Struthio camelus: one gene and its partner. The protein of the gene in region 2 binds, or shares a complex with, the protein of the main gene of each other region. Links are inferred from orthologs where the notes say so. Each region holds a gene or a part of one and is shown on either strand. Other genes may lie near its edges.

Region 1 (9,128 bases), on a different chromosome or scaffold from region 2:
GCTCCGTCCCTCAGGAGACCTCTCCAAAGGAGCTGGATAAGCAACTCCGCTCCGAGCTGGGCTGTTCCCCCTCGAAAGCCTTCCTCCAGCCCTGGAGCGGTATCTCTTCAGCCCCTTGGCCCGGGGTCAGCGTTCCCCACCGCCCGCTCGCGGCTGCTGAGCTCCCGGCCAGCAGCAGGCAGGGCTGTAACTCGCGGCGGCGATGCCGTCGCGTCCCGCAGCGCCCCGCCGAGCGGCTGGCGGACCCCTGCCCGCGGCCCGCTCCGTTGCCCGCTCTCGGGTGTGCAGTGACCGACCCTCCTGCGAGGGAGCTGCGCTGGCCCCAGGGTGCACTGAAGCCCGCTCGTTTCCCGGTGCTCAGGTTTGGGTATGCCCTACGCTGCTGTAAAAAAACCCTCCCTTCTTGCCTTTTGGCAACGCGTGCCAACCCAGATTTCTTGCAGCTTCTTGCAAGCCTTGCTGTGGATCCGATTCCTTCATTCGTTATTGCTTTGTCCTATAACTTAGTAAACCCCAGTCACGGTAAATCGCAGAGGAAAATGCAGCAGCAACGTTTCTTGCCATGGCAACAGCATGATTGCGTCAGGGTTTTTCAAACTGCAAAGCTGGATAAGCAACTCCCTTAGGGAAAGTAGCGAGAGAGAAGGGAATATTTTCGCCTGTGGGCTTAGGGGCTGCCAGTTCCAGGATTCAGAACCGAGGGGACGTGGATGCTGAGCCCAGGGCCGGCGCCGTGAGCGGCCGCGCAGGGGGCGCGGGGCGGGCGAGAGATCCTGCCGCGCAGAGGACGGCTCTGCCTGCTCCCCCTGCTTCCACCACAGCTGCAGGCAGCCCCGAAGGCTTCCTGCCGCCAGGCGTACGCGAGCCCTCGGCCAGCGGAGGTCAGCAAGGACGCGTCCCCGCTATGCAAAAGATGATTCTGCCCGTGGCTTTGGTGAGGGGCAGGATGAAGGCCCGGGGGGGGGGACGGACCCCGGTTCAATCCAGCCTCGCATTCCCTCTTTCCCTGCAATCCCAGCGAAAACAAAGAGACGGAAGGAGGCTCCTCGGCCGCGCCGCCGCCGGGGTTGGTGCCGGACAGCTGTGCCCGCCTCCTCCGCCCCCTCCAGCTGTGCCCCTGCCCGCTGCCTCCGCGGGAAGCGGGGTCCCCAGCGCTTTTCTGAGCGCAGCGCGAGCCCAGGCGACGTGGGTATTTTTGTCCCCTTTCCAGTCCTGCCGTCGCAGGGCTTGTGCGAGTCGGAGCGCGGAGAAGCAGGCGGTGATACCATCAGAGCCACAGCCAGGCGTTTTGGTGCCCGGTCGGCCTCTGCCAGCCGTCCCCGTGCTCCTCCTCGCCCCCTTTCTTCCCCGCGTCCCTCCTGGGAGCGCCTTTCCCCAGCCCTCGCCCGAGGCCGGCGTCAGCAGCTCCCGGAGGAATTCGGGTCTGTTCTCTCCGGTTTGGAAAGCTGATCACAGCGGCGCCTGGGGCAGACGCTTCTCCCGCTCTGCCCCTGGCTCTGGGCGCAGGCTACGGGAGCAGGCGGGCTGCGCAGCAAGTTTGTGCTTGGTTGCTGTGTGGCTCTGGGCAGATGCCAAACTGCTCTATCCCGTGGAAAATGGCTGTGATTACAGGGTGAGGCCAGCCTTAAAGGACTGGAGAAAGGCCCCTACAAATACAGGTAATAAATGTTGCCTAGCGGAGGTCCCTCGAAGAAATCCAGCTGTTTGCATCCATCCTGCAAAGGTCCCTTGGAGGCCAGGGGGGGTGCTGAGTACTAGATTTGGAAACCGTGACTGAGACAAGGACGTTACAGTAGGCTTTTTAGCACTCCTCTATCGATGCTCCCTGCATGTGGCACTAAAAGCTGCTGTGCTGCTGGAAGGAGACTCTTTTAGGACGTAAGTACTATCATTTTATATGCTACAATAATCTCTGTCACCGGAGGTTTTAAAGAAATGGGTGAGACAAATATCTGCCAGGAATGGGGTTGCTTGAGCCAACAGACAAGACTGGTCCCTGAGATCCCTCCAGCTTCTTGTGATTTATGATTTAACAGTTATCAGACACTGAAGTCCACAGTCCAGAGGAGCGCAGCATTGTGCTAAGAGCCACATGAACACATGGAGAGATGGCCTCTGCTTCGGAGAGCCTACAGGTCAAGGCAGCTATTTGCAGCTGCGGAAGACGCAACAGCACTTCCACCGCATCAGGTCACTTTAACTACAGTTCTTTCTTGTCGGGCGACCGAAAGGTGATTGAAAATGTGCCTCAGCTGGATAAAACAAATGAACTCATGCTCTGTCCTGAAATTTGTGCAGGGGCTACTTGAGCATCTAACCCACAGGCAGAAACAGCGCAAAAGTTAACGCTGAGCACCGTTTTCTTGCTTTACCTTGTCGAGAGTTTTGGGATCCTCAGGTCAGGAGTTGTGCAAATGTCAGTCATTGCTACAGAAAGGTTACCTCTGGTGACATGTATCACGTCTGTTATGCTTCATTGCCTAATTACTGCCATAACAACACGTGAAATCAGCCGGGACAGTTATTGACTGGCATACACTGCCCGCGCTGGTTTCAGCTGTAGTTTTGCGGTGCTTTTCTGGTACGCCAAGAGATTTTCCTGTGCTGAATCCCTCCCGGAGCCCATTGTGCCGGGGACAAACTCATGACAGTGCCCAACAGGTGAAAGCTCTGGCCACGTGGCCGCTGCAGCCCACTTGTTTACCAGCTAAAGTGACACACGCGGCTTCTAATGCCCTGGATCAGACAGGGAGGAATAAGCAGAACTGGAGCACGTGAAGCCTCCTGAGAGCACCAGAACTGGGACAAGCGAGTGGAGGCAGCACAGGAGATCTTGATTTGATCTGTTTCTCACCTTGTTTAATAGTGTAACTTCACTGGTTTCAAAGGAAAAGCATGAATGCACCCAAGTGAGACCGGAATCAGGTCTTCGGCTTCTGGGGCCCAATCCAGCTGCTGCAGAAGAGAGCTGGGATCTTTCCATTTACTGTTAGAGGAGCCAAATCAGGCCCTGAGGGCCAATGCTCAGCGGTGAACAGAGCTACGCGTCTCTGCACAAGCCTTTGGTCCTGGTAGGACCCAAATTCCATTGAAACTGTACATAAAAGATTAACTGTACTATTTTAAAAACACTTAACACGCACCGGCTTTGCAGGAGAAAAAAGTACGATTAAAAATAACCGTGTTTGTCCCTTGACGTTTGCGGTACTGACGGCCTTAGGAATATGCAAGCAGCTACAGCGCTGCCTCCTCCCCTTCAGCATCCCCAGGGCAGCCGTGCCGTGTCCTACCGCCACTCACGCCGCTCCCTGTCTCCGCTTGCAAAATGGCTCCATGCGTCAAGGTCACTTTACCCGCCCTCATCGTGAACCAGAAATGCTTATGTTAATACGTCCCTAATTTAATCAAAATGCCATGCTGGGGATTCAAGCTCAGGGCTGAATTGTCTTTTTCAAGGGCAAAAATTGACTTGCGATCTCAGGTGGCACACAAGTCCTCTCTCCTTGCCTCTCCCGTCCTTTGACATGACTGGTGCACCGGTGGACCACACAGTGTGATGCAATATTAGGTAGAATTAAAAAATAACCCAGGCTTATTCAACATTTTAAACGCTGAGTTTAAAATACCTACTTCCAATCAGGAAACAAAATTTTTTTTTTTTGGTAAAAAAATATTGCAATATCTTATCCTACCTTCACAGCTTCATCTTGTTTTTAATTATTGCTCTAATATTTTGAGTGCTGAACCTTTTATTTTCCTTTTACTGCAAAGCATCTCAGACACACTTAAGTACCAATAGATTATATATAACATATATAATAATTTGTATTATTAATGCTGTTAATTTCTTCTCTGGACTGGAAAATTAGTTCATTTTTTCATAGTTTTACCAGTAAGAAGGTAATAATAGTAATAGATTGGTGCCTCATCAATATATATATTTTTAATGCGCTTACTAGTACTTGAGCTGTAGCCAGTAATGCACGGTGGTGGAGCATGCTGTTGTACCCTGCTGGTGCTGTATGTTTGGCGAAACGACCAACGCTTTAGTACCATAACATAAAATCCGCAATGTTCCATTATGAAAGCTGTGCTGAGGAGTAATGAAACAGCTATTTTTGAGTGTACAGCAGTACAGATTAGGGCAGAGTGCAATACTGAGATTCTTCTGTATTTCATAATTACTATACCTGCTTGTGTACAAAACAAACAATCTTTTCCCTGTAGATCGCAAAACGGGTAACATCAAATCAGGGAGGAAAAGTCCAATTTCCTTACTCTGAGAGGCAGGGAAGGAGAGTACTCCCTGCTTTCACATAACAATAGTGGGCAGAAGACTCCTTTGCATTTCACTATGGCTCTTTTCACTCTTCCTGTCTCGGCACTCAGTTAGGAAATCAATCGCATTATTTGGGGGGGGGGAAAAAAACCCAGCCCTGACTTAAATACCGTATGCTATTTAAACAGCGGTTCCGACCAAGACTGCTCTGAGCTCTGGGACCAGAGAGGCGATGGGAGGGAGGCAGGGGTGCGCGTATGTGCGCACCCTCTTCTCCTGGTGCAAACTGCAAACAAAATTACCGACTCCTTTGCAGTACAATTCCCCACCTCACTTCACAGATCCAGTTTACACGGCGCTGATCCTGCTGCCGAGTAGAGGGGTAGGTGACGTGGCCTCCAGGACCCGTCCTAGCCCTGTTTTCTTCCAGCTCTTGTCCGTATGCCGCCGTTTTCCTCCTGCGTCTTTTCCTCTCGGCCGTTTTTAAATAGCATCCTACATCATGGCATAGTTGAGCCAAGACTGTAGCTTTTCTAGGAAAGACTGGGGAATTGTGTTTTCCTGTGCGTTTTAAAGCAATGCAGTCTCTTGAAGAAACGTGTACCTGTGTCGGACAGCTTCTTGTTTGAACTGGGAAGTTTTTAATGCTAGAGATATACTTACCTTATAAAAATCCCAGGGTGGGCTTTTAGACGTTTCAATGGAAAATGGGCTGAGCAGAATCCTTTCTTTTTTTTTCCCCTCCCCTTCACAAAACCATTTATGCTTGGGAACGGGTGATGGGGCGGCTTTTAAAATTAGTTGTGCCATGCTCTCAGGAGTACGCGCGGGGGGTGTCGAGTCACCAGGACCGCGCTTCAGAGGAGGAGGCTGCTTTGCTGTAGCCGTTATTCACCCTGCACACGCCGCGAGAGCCGGCCGGGGAAGGTGAAGTCGCGGCGTAACCCTTGGGCAGGACGCGGAGGGCGGCCGCCCGCCGAGGGGACGGACGGCGCGCCTGGGGGTGACGAGGACGCGGCGGCCCCTTCCTCTGCCGCCTGCCCGAGGGGCCTCCGCTCTCCAGAGAGCGGCTCGGGGAGGGGGGCGCTTCGCCCCGGCCTCCGAGCGTCGGCCTGGTCGCTCTGCTACGACGGATCCTGCCGTCATCCCACAGAGCCAACAGGCCGCCATGCCTGCGCGGGGTGGGGGTGGGGGGGCAGGCTGCCCTCCCTCAGCAAAGGGAACACGAGAGGGGCCCTGAGGTGGGGGCACACTGGGAAAGCCGAGCCACCGCCGGTGAGCACCGCCCGGTGCGGGCTGCGCCCCGCCGGGAGGCAGCGCAGGCTGCAGCGCTCGCCGCCCAAGATGGCGGCCGCCCCCTCAGGCGGCCCCTTTGTCTGCAGCAGCGGCGGCCGCCGCATTGCTGAGAAGGGCGCGAAACTGGGGCAGCGCGGCCACGCCCCCTCCCCGTGCGGGCCGCGAGGGGGTGTGGCGGAGGGGGAAATGCGACGGGGGCGCCCTCCAGCCAATCAGCTGCCTCCACTTCGTTTCTTCTCACAGGGGCTCTGCTGGCCAACGTTCTCCGAGCTCCCAACCAATCAGAGCCGCCCTCCACGCCCCACCCCCACGTGGGAGTAAGGGAAGGAGGGGGAATGCAGCGTTTTTGTTTTCACTCCCTCCTCCCCTCTCCCCCAGTCGGGCCTCATGAATATTAATAAGCTCCAGGCCAATCAGGTGGCGGAGCGGCGGCAGCGCTTTGGTCTCGTCACTCGCCCCGCCTTGCGGTGGGGCAGTATTTGCATATTCATAAGAGGGGCGGGGCCGAAAGCGGGGGTTTATAAGCCGCTGCCCCGCCAGCCTCAGCGTACATCGCGCTGAGACTTTGAAGTGCTGTGTGGACCCTTCAGCTCCAGAATACTGGTAAGGAGCCTGCTGGGGTGCTCGGGCGGCGGCCGGGCCGGGCTGGGCTGGGGAGGCTTGGAGCGCCTTAGTCAAGGGGAACGCGTCCGAGAAGCAGCGGGTTTGCTACCGGGGGGGAGCCTGGGGCGGGGGGCGCCTGTCCCGCGGCCCCGCTGTCTTTCGAGGTTGTGTAGTGAGCCTAGCGAAGGCGTTGTGGTTGCTCGCTGCGTGTGTGCGCTGTGTTGGGGGGGGGAAACCAGGGGGAGGGGTGAAATGCGCCTTCGGAAACAAAATGGCGACTCGCCTCGACGGTGCAAAATGGCGGCGGGTGGGAGGAGGGGCGTCGCAACGCGCCTGCGCCAAATGGGCGGAGCGCGGAGGGAGGAGCGGCGTCTCCGGGGGCGGGGAGGGGGGCCTGGTGGCCGGGAGGCTGCGCCTGTGCCCCGCGGGGCGCGCATGCGCGGGGCGGGGCGGGCGGCTGCAGGCAGGGCCGGAGCCCGCCGTGCCGGGCGAGCCCTCTGCGCGCCTCCGGGGAGGTGGCTTGGCCCCGGGTGAGGGCGGATGTGGTGGGTAGCTGTGCTCTCCTTCGTAACCTGGATGTGGCTCGGTTTTTCCAAGAGAAAGCACTTGGTCCTCCGTTCGGGTGCTCCTTTGTGGTTTGCAGCGGTGGCTCGCTGAACCGAATGAGCGTGCGTTGTTTAAGAATGCTAGGCTGCTGATCCAATGTTTTGGCCCTTGCGGAAATATTTCTTGGTTTAACGGTGGGTACGTTGACTTTACAGGACAAAATGGCATCCGATGAGGGGAAGCTCTTTGTTGGCGGTCTGAGTTTTGACACCAATGAGCAGTCATTGGAACAAGTCTTCTCTAAATATGGACAGATCTCTGAAGGTAAGATCATCATAATTAGCTGTGATGTTTTCCATGAATTTTCTAGATTTCCTGGGTGCTCATGTTCTTTTTTTCTTTGTAGTCGTTGTGGTGAAAGACAGAGAGACTCAAAGATCCAGAGGTTTTGGCTTTGTTACTTTTGAAAACATAGACGATGCTAAAGATGCAATGATGGCTATGAACGGAAAGGTAAGGAGACTTTGGAATTTCTTTCCTGATCTCTCAAGGAATAAGAGGAGCCAGCAAAGCGTGTTCCTGTTCAGTGAAATGATAGAAACTCAGAGGGAACACATACATAGCGCTTGAAAACTAATTTACTTCTGTAGTGGGCTATACCTTAGTTGTAACGCTGAACGAAAGGCTTGTTGTTCAACATTGAAATACCAAGTTGGTTTATTTTTCTTTCGACTTTAGTCTGTAGATGGACGTCAGATCAGAGTTGATCAGGCTGGAAAATCATCAGAGAACAGATCTCGTGGATACAGAGGGGGGTCTTCTGGGGGCAGAGGCTTTTTCCGTGGAGGCAGAGGTCGGGGCCGTGGCTTCTCTAGAGGTGAGCGTATGTAAAAGATCAGTACTTATTGATAGGATAATGGTAGCTCTCAGCATGCTAAAATAAACTCCTTGCATCTGTTGAAGGAGGTGGAGACAGAGGCTATGGCGGAAGCAGGTTTGATTCCAGAAGTGGAGGATATAATGGCTCCAGAGACTACTATAATAGCAGGTAAACCCACCGCAAATAGGGGTTCTTTTGCAAAGCGCTTGGAAGTCCGCTGCCTGTTTGACACATGTCAAGAGGCTCCACGAACAGATGAACAAATATAATGCATGTGAATGTATTTTTAACAGCAGGAGTCAAGGTGGTTACGGCGACAGGTCTTCAGGAGGATCCTACAGAGACAGCTACGACAGTTACGGTAAGTCTTAGTTCAAATGGGAATGACGAGTATGTTGCTGTAGGAACTCTCTAAACCTTCTCACCCTGTACTGAAGTCTGGAAATACTGTAAGGCTCAGTTGGACTGTACCACTATTTTTGTTCTTGCCCGTAAGAACCAATCTGTCAAGCCTCGGACGTGGTTGTGCCATTTAAATTTCTAATTTGTAATGCATGTGTAGGAGTTGCTTGGATCTAAGGCAAAGCAAGTTTTTAACTACATTCCTCAAGCTTGAGACTAAGACAAAACTCAGATGCCCTAACAAACTTTAATCAAGGGTGGGGGAGTTCTCTTAAGACATAGCGAACTAGCATTAGCTTCTGAAATAATGCAAGGGAGTAAAATGCTGGAACTTGTCTATGCTTCAGTGCCTTTACAATTGTGCCTGCTTCTTGTCCTCAGCTACACACAACGAGTAAAAATCCTTCCTGACTCAAGATCGTCCTTCCAATGGCTGTATTTATAAAGATTTTTGGAGCTTCGCTGAAATCGTTATTGTGTAGTACATCTACTTGTATTTTCACTTTTGTAGTATTATCAGTTCTAATCTTGTCAAACACAGCCTGACAGCTTCTGATATAAGATGGTCTAATTAGACTTTTCTTTAAGAAAGCTCTGCTTTCAAGTGTTTTTAATCTTTTTTGAAAGCACTTCAGATTTTATTTTATCCTTCATGATGAGCCAAGGTGTTTTTTTAAAGTTGTGAAGTTGGGGCCCCAATTCAGTTTCTTTTGAGATAGAAAGGACCTTTAATTCAATGTTCACTGGAAGCTGAACAAGCTGTGGACTTTTTTTTTTTTAAGTGCATTACCTTCGTCTTTTGTAACATTCCTTTAGTGTAGCAAGGTAGGAATGCAGCCTGGGTACAAATTGGAAGGCAAACCACCTTGATATATCTAAAGAGAAACTTGCTTGTATGTTCAACTTGCATAACGGTATTTTTACTGTTGTAATGATGTAAATTACCCAGAAATAGACTTGCAAACTTACCATAAAAGAGGTTCTTGAAAATGTTTATTTATATTGTCCTTTTTTACTGGAAGAAATATGCATATTCCATTGATATTGTATTTGAAGTGGTAAAGGATTCTTGTATACAGTTTTCTTTGGCTTTACGAAGCCTATTAAAAGACCGTCTGAAAT
Region 2 (9,376 bases):
CTAAAACACCCCGCATGTGAACTGCCCACAGCTGTGCAGAGAGCTAATGCTGCTTCTTGAGCAGAAGCCCCCCACCCCATGAAATAAAGCAGCAGCCTAAGCTTCTGTTAATGTCTTCTTCAGGAAGAAGTTTTGTTAAATGAGACCTACTCAGCCATCAGCTACCTGCAACTTTACATCTATGACTCAGTCCTTCAATTCCACAAAATACTTCTATTCCTAATACCACAAGGCTTCGCTTAGGCACACGTATCAGACAACTTCATGCCTGCAGAAAGAAGCTGCTAAGAAGTGGTATAATACTACCAAGTGGTATAACACTACGGGGGGGGGGGGTCGCCCGCCCCTTCGTCAGAGCTGTCATGTTGCCTCCCACTTACCGTGGGGTAAGATCACCCCCCCCCCCGATACCACGAGGCAGCCAGCACACTATGTCTGCTCACTCCAGCCTGCCTCGCAGAGGCCGATGGAGAAAGCTGCGACACCGTTACTACGGAATTAGCCTACAACATCACTTCTCTGAAGCTGTTATTACCTTCTCTGAACAAGAACAGAGGGGCTGGACTGCCTCTAGGCCTTGGGCAAGCCAAATCCGGTACCTGCTATGATGGTCCGTCTAACAGAAATGCTCATCTTTCTAAAAAAAAACGCTCCTCTTTCTCTGGCTTACGTCTGAAAGTTGAAATAAATTTAGTAAAGAACAATTTAAATAAGTTATGTATTCTGAATGATTTTAAGTTGCACTCCAGAGCGTCCGTTCCTTTCCCAAAGATCTGAGAGGGAAGCGGGATTGCTCCTTAAAACGTGTCACTAAACTCTGCAAGTGAATCTCTCAAAGCATCAGGTCAAATAAGTATAAATAAGAAGCGAGAACCAGAAACACTGTTAACATGGAGACAGGCTAGCTTGCTGCTTGAGTTTAAAACGCACTTGCATACATGAAAGAGCCAGTCCAGAGCTGAAAGGAGGTTTCTGAAGGCATTTCTCTTGAGAAAAGATAAAGAAGTTACTTCCCTCTAAAAAGCAAAGGGATCCCCTTTGTCTTCTGGCCAGACTGCTGAGGTACTTCACGCACACTTATCTGCGCCACAGGACAAAAGCAGCTTCGCAGAGGAATTGTCTGTTCAGTCACTAGAGATTATTTGTACGACGGCAAGTTAGTTAAAGGGAGCAGCCAGCGCAGAAAGAAGCGTTCAAGGAGCAGAAGGCAACAAAGGCTTAAATTAAATAAGCACGCTTTTGATTTAGTTTACAAAACGATCTGGAAAACACAGATAAGCGTCCAAAGCAACCACAGCTGAGCAAAACAGACCACAAGGCTTTCCACAGGGACAGAGACGAATGAGAAACCCCATCCTCGTGGGAGGCCAGGTTTTTTTAAAAATTAAGACCCAAATGCTTCCACCGCTCCTCTTGATGGGGCAGTGTGTCTCAAGCACGGCTCACAGGCCCTACAATGCCGTCGGGGGGGCCCTCTGCTCCTAACGCAGAAGTAACCGCTTCAGACTGCAGTCTTGATGTTCAGCAAGTTACCTTGAAAGCAGGACGCTATCCACTTCTTTGTCCTGTCGCATCACCAGCTGGCTCTAGATTTCCCTCTCTGCCCCAAAGGCTGATCAGGAATTCATCTAGGCACATAGCAAAAGCGTTATCTGTTCCAGAAATAGATCTGCAATAATTGCAGCACAGTTTACTCTCTTTCAACTCTAATATAGAATAAAAGCTGGAGTCTTTAGTTTGCCTTTGGCCTTCTCAGGTAGGGATTCAGCGGTTTAGGAGGCCTCACGTGACAAAAAAGGAGAATCTCATGCCGCGATTACAAATTTAGTTTCTGAAACAGGAGTAACCTCACAACAAAGTCACAGACTGGGCAAGAGAGACACCGCTCTGGAAATAAACTGAAACAAGATCTTCACGCGGCCACAACCAAACCCCTAACGTTCATCAAGTTACCTTAAATGCTGGTGTGAGGGTACAGCCCAGCAAGGCGACAGGGTCCAGGGGGGCTCTGCTCCACGTCTCAAACCGATCAGAAGAACTGCTGTGTGTCTGCTGTGTGTTGGCACTCAACACTTGGCAAATTCATGTAAGTTTAGTTGTTCTCCTTGCACACCCACCCCACGTACTTTCCAAATGGTGAAGACCGCTTTTTCAGGAAAAGATACCATCCAAATATACATAGACTTGATTAATCTTTATAACTGGATTTTTCCCAAACTTACCAGAATAGTTGCAGAAGTAAATACTACTATAGACTCTTACGATAATTAGGAATCCAACTCTATTCAGCTCAAGTAAATTAAGGAAGAAAACATGAGTTTGTTGTAATGAATGCTGTAAAGAGGTACTAGCCAATGAGAAGTTCAGAGCAGCAACATTTATCTAGCAGATTAATTCCACAGTCACTACTTATCTCCTACAAAGTGAGGAAGCTGAACAGAGCTCTGTAAAACTTGCTTGGGAAGACACTCGAGGAAGCAGAGGAGAATTTTCTGCTGTCCTTCACAGCATTCAGGCTTTGAGACAAGCAGACCAGTGCAGGGGGCAGAAGTCTTGCTCTTCAAGAGGTCCCAGCATGCTAGACAAAACTGATCAGAATTCAGGATTCACTGCTTCTCCTCGGAAAACACAAGCAGCCTCCAAAGATTTCTGGCGGGAGGGGCGGGGGTAGAGGGGACGTGTGGACGGCAGAGGAGGAAAACTAGACATCAGCGACACAAAGGACGCCCGCTCTATGCTCCGCTCTACATAGCTGAGAGCCATACCGATACAAAAGACAACAAGGAGAAACAATAGGCTTTAGGGGAAAAAAAAAAAAATGAAGTCACTCCCAGCCTTACAACCAAGAGCGAACAAATATGTTTTCAGCAAGAGAATGCCCTGAAGTACGGCTAGGCCAAAAAACATACATCAATTTCTAAATTTAGTCTTGAGGCTAAAGTCCAGCAGGACAGAACTTGACATCAATCACTTCAGGGTTTCAGAAGCGAGCAGCAGTGCTTCCACTCCTCTGGTTCACCGTAAGCTAGAGCACGACTTCGACTGTTTTCCAGGGGAAGCCTCAGCTCTCTCGGCCGTGGGCAGGCCGGGAGCAGCGGGCAGAGCGGGGGTGCCCGTGGGGTCCATCACGCCCGGCGAGAGGAGGGGTTGTGGGCCCGTCCAATACCTTTCACAACGTTTCCCTCAACCATTTCCTGCTCCTCAGCTACCACAGAGGCTGTGCCAAATAAGGCAGCCTGTCTTTCCTGTTCTGGTCAAGGAGCCTCAGCGCGGGCAGACCGCGACAAAAGCCAGGCCTTTGCGCTCCCCAGAGCGGACTTGGAGAGCGGTAACGATAACAAAACACCACCTCGCTGCTTCGGGTGAAGCCACGAAGACAAGCCAGGTCGCCGAGCAGCTGCGGAGGGGCTGCCCGCCAGCCAGCTCCGCGCCGCCGGACGTCGACCAAACTCCCGCTCTCACGCCGACAGGCCGCGGCGAGCGGGACCGGCGACGCGGTGGGCAAGAGCGGAGGGGACCGGGGCACAACGCCGACAGCCGCCGGGGCAGGCGAGCAGCGAGGCCAGGCCGCGGCCTGGGGCGAGGCCTACTGAGCTCTCCACACACTTCCCCCCCCCCGCCCCCAAAACCGGTCCTGCCCCCCGCCCGAAACGTGCTCCACCGGAGCAGGCCTCACCGATCGCTGGAGCTCGCCCAGCCAGCAGCTCGCCCGCTCCTTGCCGCTGGGGTCGGGGTCGTGGTAGAGGGCCTGCACGGCCTGGTACACCACCTGCAGGCTCGGCTTGCCCCCGCCGCCCTCCATGGCGCTGCCGATGCTGCCGCCGCCGCCGCTCAGGGCCGCCGGCCGCTGCCGCCCGCCGCCATCTCCTCGCCCTGCGCCGTCCGTTACCGGGACGGGGCGGTGCCACGCCGAGCGCGGCCCCCGCCGGAAACACGCGCCGAGCCGCGCGTTCCGCTTCCGGTCCGGCCAACCCCGCTCCCTCCCTCCCTCCCGCCCGCTGCCACCGCCCGCTCGCGCCGCCCGGAACCGCCGCGCCGCGCTTCCGCCGCGTGCGCCGCCCAAAGCGGCCCGGCCGGCACGGCGGCGGCGGGAAGAGACGGGCCGCCCCCCTCCACCCCCCCCCGGCGGCGGCGCTTCCGGGACCCGCCCCGGCCGCCATTGTGCGCGCGGTCTGGGCCCGGCCGCCAGCCCGGCCCTGAACCCCGTGTGGACCGTGGTCCCCGGTGCCCCCGGCCCGGTCCCGTCCGGCCCCCTCCCGCTCCCCCCCCCCGGTGCCCCCGGCCCCGTCCGGTCTGTCCCCCTCCCGCCCCCCCCCGGTGCCCCTGGCCCGGCCTGGTCCCCTCCCGTCCCCCCTGGTGCCCCTGGCCCGGTCCCCTCCCGTCCCCCCCGGTGCCTCCGGCCCGGCCCGGTCTGGTCCCCTCCCGTCCCCCCTGGTGCCCCCGGCCCGGTCCCCTCCCGTCCCCCCCGGTGCCCCTGGCCCGGCCCGGTCCCCTCCCGTCCCCCCCGGTGCCCCCGGCCCAGTCCCCTCCCGTCCCCCCTGGTGCCCCCGGCCCGGTCTGGTCCCCTCCCGTCCCCCCCGGTGCCCCTGGCCCGGTCCCCTCCCATCCCCCCCGGTGCCTCCGGCCCGGCCCGGTCTGGTCCCCTCCCGTCCCCCCCGGTGCCCCCGGCCCAGTCTGGTCCCCTCCCGTCCCCCCCGGTGCCCCTGGCCCGGTCCCCTCCCATCCCCCCCGGTGCCTCCGGCCCGGCCCGGTCTGGTCCCCTCCCGTCCCCCCCGGTGCCCCCGGCCCAGTCTGGTCCCCTCCCGTCCCCCCCGGTGCCCCTGGCCCGGTCCCCTCCCATCCCCCCCGGTGCCTCCGGCCCGGCCCGGTCTGGTCCCCTCCCGTCCCCCCCCGGTGCCCCCGGCCCGGTCCCCTCCGTTCCCCCCAGCTCGGCCCGCTCCTGTCCCCCCCCGGTGCCCCCGGCCCGGTCCCCTCCCGTCCCCCCCGGTGCCCCCGGCCCAGACTGGTCCCCTCCCGTCCCCCCCGGTGCCCCCGGCCCGGTCCCCTCCCGTCCCCCCCAGTTCCCCCCGCCCGGCCCAGTCCGGTCCCCTCCCGTCCCCCCCCGGTGCCCCCCGCCCGGTCCCCTCCCGTCCCCCCTGGTGCCCCTGGCCCGGCCCGGTCTGGTCCCCTCCCGTCCCCCCCGGTGCCCCTGGCCCGGTCCCCTCCCGTCCCCCCTGGTGCCCCTGGCCCGGCCCGGTCTGGTCCCCTCCCGTCCCCCCCGGTGCCCCTGGCCCGGTCCCCTCCCGTCCCCCCTGGTGCCCCTGGCCCGGCCCGGTCTGGTCCCCTCCCGTCCCCCCGTCCCGGCCCACTCCTGTCCCCCCCCCGGTGCCCCCGGCCCAGACTGTTTCCCTCCTGTGCCCCCCCGGTGCCCCCGGTCTGGTCCCCTCCCATCCCCCCCCAGTACCCCCACCCCGGTCTGGTCCCCTCCCATCCCCCCCCAGTACCCCCACCCCGGTCTGGTCCCCTCCCGTCCCCCCCCCCCCCCGGTGACCCCTGCCCGGCCCGCTCCGCTCCCGTCACCCTCGGTCCCACCAGCCTGGCCAGTGTCGTCCCAGTTGTGGGCACCAAGGGGCCGCAGGAGAGGGACGTTCAACTGGCACCTCTTGCCCCACCGCACCCATTGCACCTGCGTGGCCATGGCAGGGATGAGGGAATTGGGGGGGTGTCCGGGTCAGGGATGGGGGTGTTGGTGGGGATCTAGGGCATGGATGTGGGGTCGGGGTGTCTGGGGTAGGGACGAGGGGACTGGGGGGGGGGATGGGGGAGATGGCAGGGGTTCAGGCCTGCCATTCCTACAGGCAGCAGCGTCCCACAGGCAGAGGTGTCCCATGGGGAGAAGCACCCCAGGGAGCAGCAGTGTCCCACGGGCCGTGGTGTCCCATGGGGAGAAGCACCCCAGGGAGCAGCAGTGTCCCACGGGCCGTGGTGTCCCGTGGGTGGTGGTGTCCCACCAGCAGCAGCCCCGGGGAGCTGGGTGCTGGCACAGGGCACAGGGCAGGGGGGGCTCCTGACCCAGCCCTAACGCGAGAGGGAAGCGATGGGGGACCAGACCCCATGCTGGAGGGCAGAGGGTTCACAGCATCACACAAAATCACAGAAGGGTTGAGGTTGGAAGGGACCTCTGGAGATCATCTAGTCCAACCCCCCGTGCTCAAGCAGGATCCTCTAGAGCATATTTCCCAGGAGCGCATTCAGGTAGGTTTTGAATATCTCCAGGGAAGGAGACTCCTCTCTGGGCAACCTTTTCCAGTGCTCTGTCACCCTCACAGTAAAGAAGTTTTTCCTCCTGTTCAGATGGAACTTCTTGTGTTTCAGTTTGTGCCCGTTGCCTCTTGTCCTGTCACTGGGCACCACAGAGAAGAGAGTGGCCCCATCCTCTCTTGACACCCTCCCTTCAGATACTTGTAGGCATTGATGAGTTCCCTTCTCAGTCTTCTCCAGGCTGTACAGGCCCAGTTTCTTCAGCCTTTCTTCACAGGAGAGATGCTCCAGTCCCCTACTCAGCTTTGTAGCCCTCTGCTGGACTCTCTCCAGTAGTGCCATGTCTCTCCTGTACCGGGGAGCCCACAGTTGGACACAGTACTGCAGATGTGGCCTCAGCAGGGCTGAGTAGAGGGGGAGGATCACCTCCCTCCACCTGCTGGCAACACTCAATGCACCCACCCCAGGAGACCATTGGCCTTCTTGGCCACAAGGGCACACTGCTGGCTCGTGGTCAATTTGTTGTCCACCAGCACTCCCAGGTCCCTCTCGGCAGAGCTGCTCTCCAGCAGGTCAACCCCCAGCCTGTCCTGGTGCCTGGGGTTCTTCCTCCCCAGGGGCAGGAGCCTGCACTTGCCTTTGTGGAACTGCATGAGGTTCCTCTCCACCCAACTCTCCAGCCTGTCCACGTCCCCCTGAATGGCAGCACAGCCTTCTGGTGTGTCAGCCACTCCTCCCAGTTTAGTATCATCGGCAACCTTGCTGAGGGGGCACTCTGTCCCTTCCTCCAGGTCATGGATGAATAAGTTGAACAACCACCACTACCTCTCCCAGACTGACCTGTTGCGTCTCGTCAGGACCTGGACCTCCCGCGGCCCCGGGGTCCAGGCCGGAGCAGCCCGGCGATGCTGCCGCAGGCGCCCAGGGCCCCGGCGCCTGGCTTGAGCCAGGGCAGAGAAGCGGTCATGGGGGGACTTTCCGGCCGCCAGGCGCACGGCCAGGCACGCGGTTAGGACCTCCAACATGGCCCACCACATCCTCCGCTTCCCCAAATGACTCCTGCCTGGGGCTTTGGCCCAGGGCTCAGGGCATGGGGGACGCCAGGCTCGGCCCGGCCTCGGGGAAGGGGCAGCTTGAGGGATCCCAGCGTGGCATGGCCCCATATAGGGGACCCCTCACATCAATCCCTCCACTGCTATAGGTGCATAGGGGACCCCGTGCAGCACCACCCATTGCTACAGGTATATAAGGGACCCCCCACCAGCCTGGTCCGCTCCCGTCCCCACCGGTGCCCCCGACCCGGCTCAGTGTCCTCCCAGGTGCGGACGCCAAGGGGCTGCAGGAGAGGGACGTTCAACCCGCACCTCTTGCCCCGCTGCACTCATGGCACCCGTGTGGCCAGGGCAGGGCTCGTGGCATTTGGGGGGGTCCAGGTCAGGGATGGGGGTGTTGGGGGGGGAACTGGGGTGTCTGGGGCAGGGATGAGGGGACTGGGGGGGGTCTGGGGCAGGGTCCAGGGCAGGGGTCCGGGGCAGGGATGAGGGAGATGGCAGGGGTTTAGGGCTGGCATTCCCAGCCTGGCTCCCCAGGGAGCTTTGACCCTTCCTGCTGTTGCTGATAGCGTTCCTGAGGGCGCTGGGGCCTTTTCTGGCCTTTCTGATGACGTCGCCGGGGTCATTTGGGCCTTAGCTAGCGCTGCTGTTCCCTCGGTGCTGGAGACCCACGGCAGGGACCAGCCCATGGCGGCCCAGCCCCACAGAGGGGCAGGATGCGTCCCTGTCCTTCCCTCCATGCTCCATCCAAGTCTGCATCCCCATCCCTGTACCTATCTCCATCCCCATGTCCACCCCCATCCGTGTCCCCATCTGCAGCCCCACCACGTGTCCCCAGGTGCCCTCAGCAAGGGAAGGGCGTGCTGCTGGCAACATTGGGTGTCCTGCGGGAGCCAAGGTGCCACAGCGAGGAGCCGGGACGCGGGGCTGCTCTCCTCTCGCTCAGCCCCAGCCCACCTCAGCCAGGCACCACTCATGGTGCCTGTGATGGGGACGGCACAGTGATGTCACCTCCTGCAGGTGGCAGCAGCTCAGCAATGTCCCACGGGCAGCAGCATCCCATGGGGAGAAGCACCCCCTGAGCAGCAGCGTCCTATGGGCAGTGGCGTCCCATGGGGAGAAGCACCCCCCGAGCAGCAGTGTCCCACGGGCAGTGGTGTCCCATGGGGAGAAGCACCCCAGGGAGCAGCAGTGTCCCACGGGCAGTGGTGTCCCATGGGGAGAAGCACCCCCTGAGCAGCAGCGTCCTATGGGCAGTGGCGTCCCATGGGGAGAAGCACCCCCTGAGCAGCAGCGTCCCACGGGCAGAGGTGTCCCATGGGGAGAAGCACCCCAGGGAGCAGCAGCGTCCCACGGGCAGTGGTGTCCCATGGGGAGAAGCACCCCAGGGAGCAGCAGTGTCCCACGGGCAGTGGTGTCCCATGGGGAGAAGCACCCCCTGAGCAGCAGCGTCCTATGGGCAGTGGCGTCCCATGGGGAGAAGCACCCCCTGAGCAGCAGCGTCCCACGGGCAGAGGTGTCCCATGGGGAGAAGCACCCCAGGGAGCAGCAGCGTCCCACGGGCAGTGGTGTCCCATGGGGAGAAGCACCCCAGGGAGCAGCAGCGTCCCACGGGCAGTGGTGTCCCATGGGGAGAAGCACCCCAGGGAGCAGCAGCGTCCCACGGGCAGTGGTGTCCCATGGGGAGAAGCACCCCCTGAGCAGCAGTGTCCCACGGGCAGCGGTGTCCCATGGGGAGAAGCACCCCCTGAGCAGCAGTGTCCCACGGGCAGCGGTGTCCCATGGGGAGAAGCACCCCAGGGAGCAGCAGTGTCCCACGGGCAGTGGTGTCCCATGGGGAGAAGCACCCCAGGGAGCAGCAGCGTCCCACGGGCAGTGGTGTCCCATGGGGAGAAGCACCCCAGGGAGCAGCAGTGTCCCACGGGCAGCGGTGTCCCATGGGGAGAAGCACCCCAGGGAGCAGCAGTGTCCCACGGGCAGTGGTGTCCCATGGGGAGAAGCACCCCCTGAGCAGCAGCGTCCCACGGGCAGTGGTGTCCCATGGGGAGAAGCACCCCCTGAGCAGCAGTGTCCCACGGGCAGCG

The links.
Region 1: the proteins of TNPO3 (region 2) and CIRBP are in contact, whole or in part, in a crystal structure (PDB 8CMK), measured with the Homo sapiens proteins. The link is inferred for Struthio camelus from reciprocal best matches to the Homo sapiens genes TNPO3 and CIRBP. Residues at the interface, in NP_036602.1 of Homo sapiens: Arg620, Glu660, Arg661, Cys663, Arg664, Arg667, Phe668, Arg671, Ser698, Cys699, Tyr702, Ser705, Ile706, Asp709, Glu710, Asp747, Asp750, Asp751, Arg754, Arg758; in NP_001271.1 of Homo sapiens: Tyr160, Arg161, Ser163, Tyr164, Asp165, Ser166, Tyr167, Ala168.

The regions. Positions count from the first base shown.
Region 1 is NC_090967.1:7,051,683-7,060,810, reverse strand, and holds the start of CIRBP (cold-inducible RNA-binding protein), read left to right. Parts: upstream 1-5,556; 5' UTR 5,557-6,178; intron 6,179-6,939; 5' UTR 6,940-6,945; coding exon 6,946-7,048; intron 7,049-7,130; coding exon 7,131-7,237; intron 7,238-7,462; coding exon 7,463-7,601; intron 7,602-7,687; coding exon 7,688-7,772; intron 7,773-7,897; coding exon 7,898-7,965; intron 7,966-8,387; coding exon 8,388-8,404; 3' UTR 8,405-9,128. UniProt on the Homo sapiens protein: Cold-inducible mRNA binding protein that plays a protective role in the genotoxic stress response by stabilizing transcripts of genes involved in cell survival. Acts as a translational activator.
Region 2 is NC_090942.1:1,544,236-1,553,611, forward strand, and holds the start of TNPO3 (transportin-3), read right to left. Parts: upstream 4,001-9,376; 5' UTR 3,803-4,000; coding exon 3,677-3,802; intron 1-3,676. UniProt on the Homo sapiens protein: Importin, which transports target proteins into the nucleus. Specifically mediates the nuclear import of splicing factor serine/arginine (SR) proteins, such as RBM4, SFRS1 and SFRS2, by recognizing phosphorylated SR domains.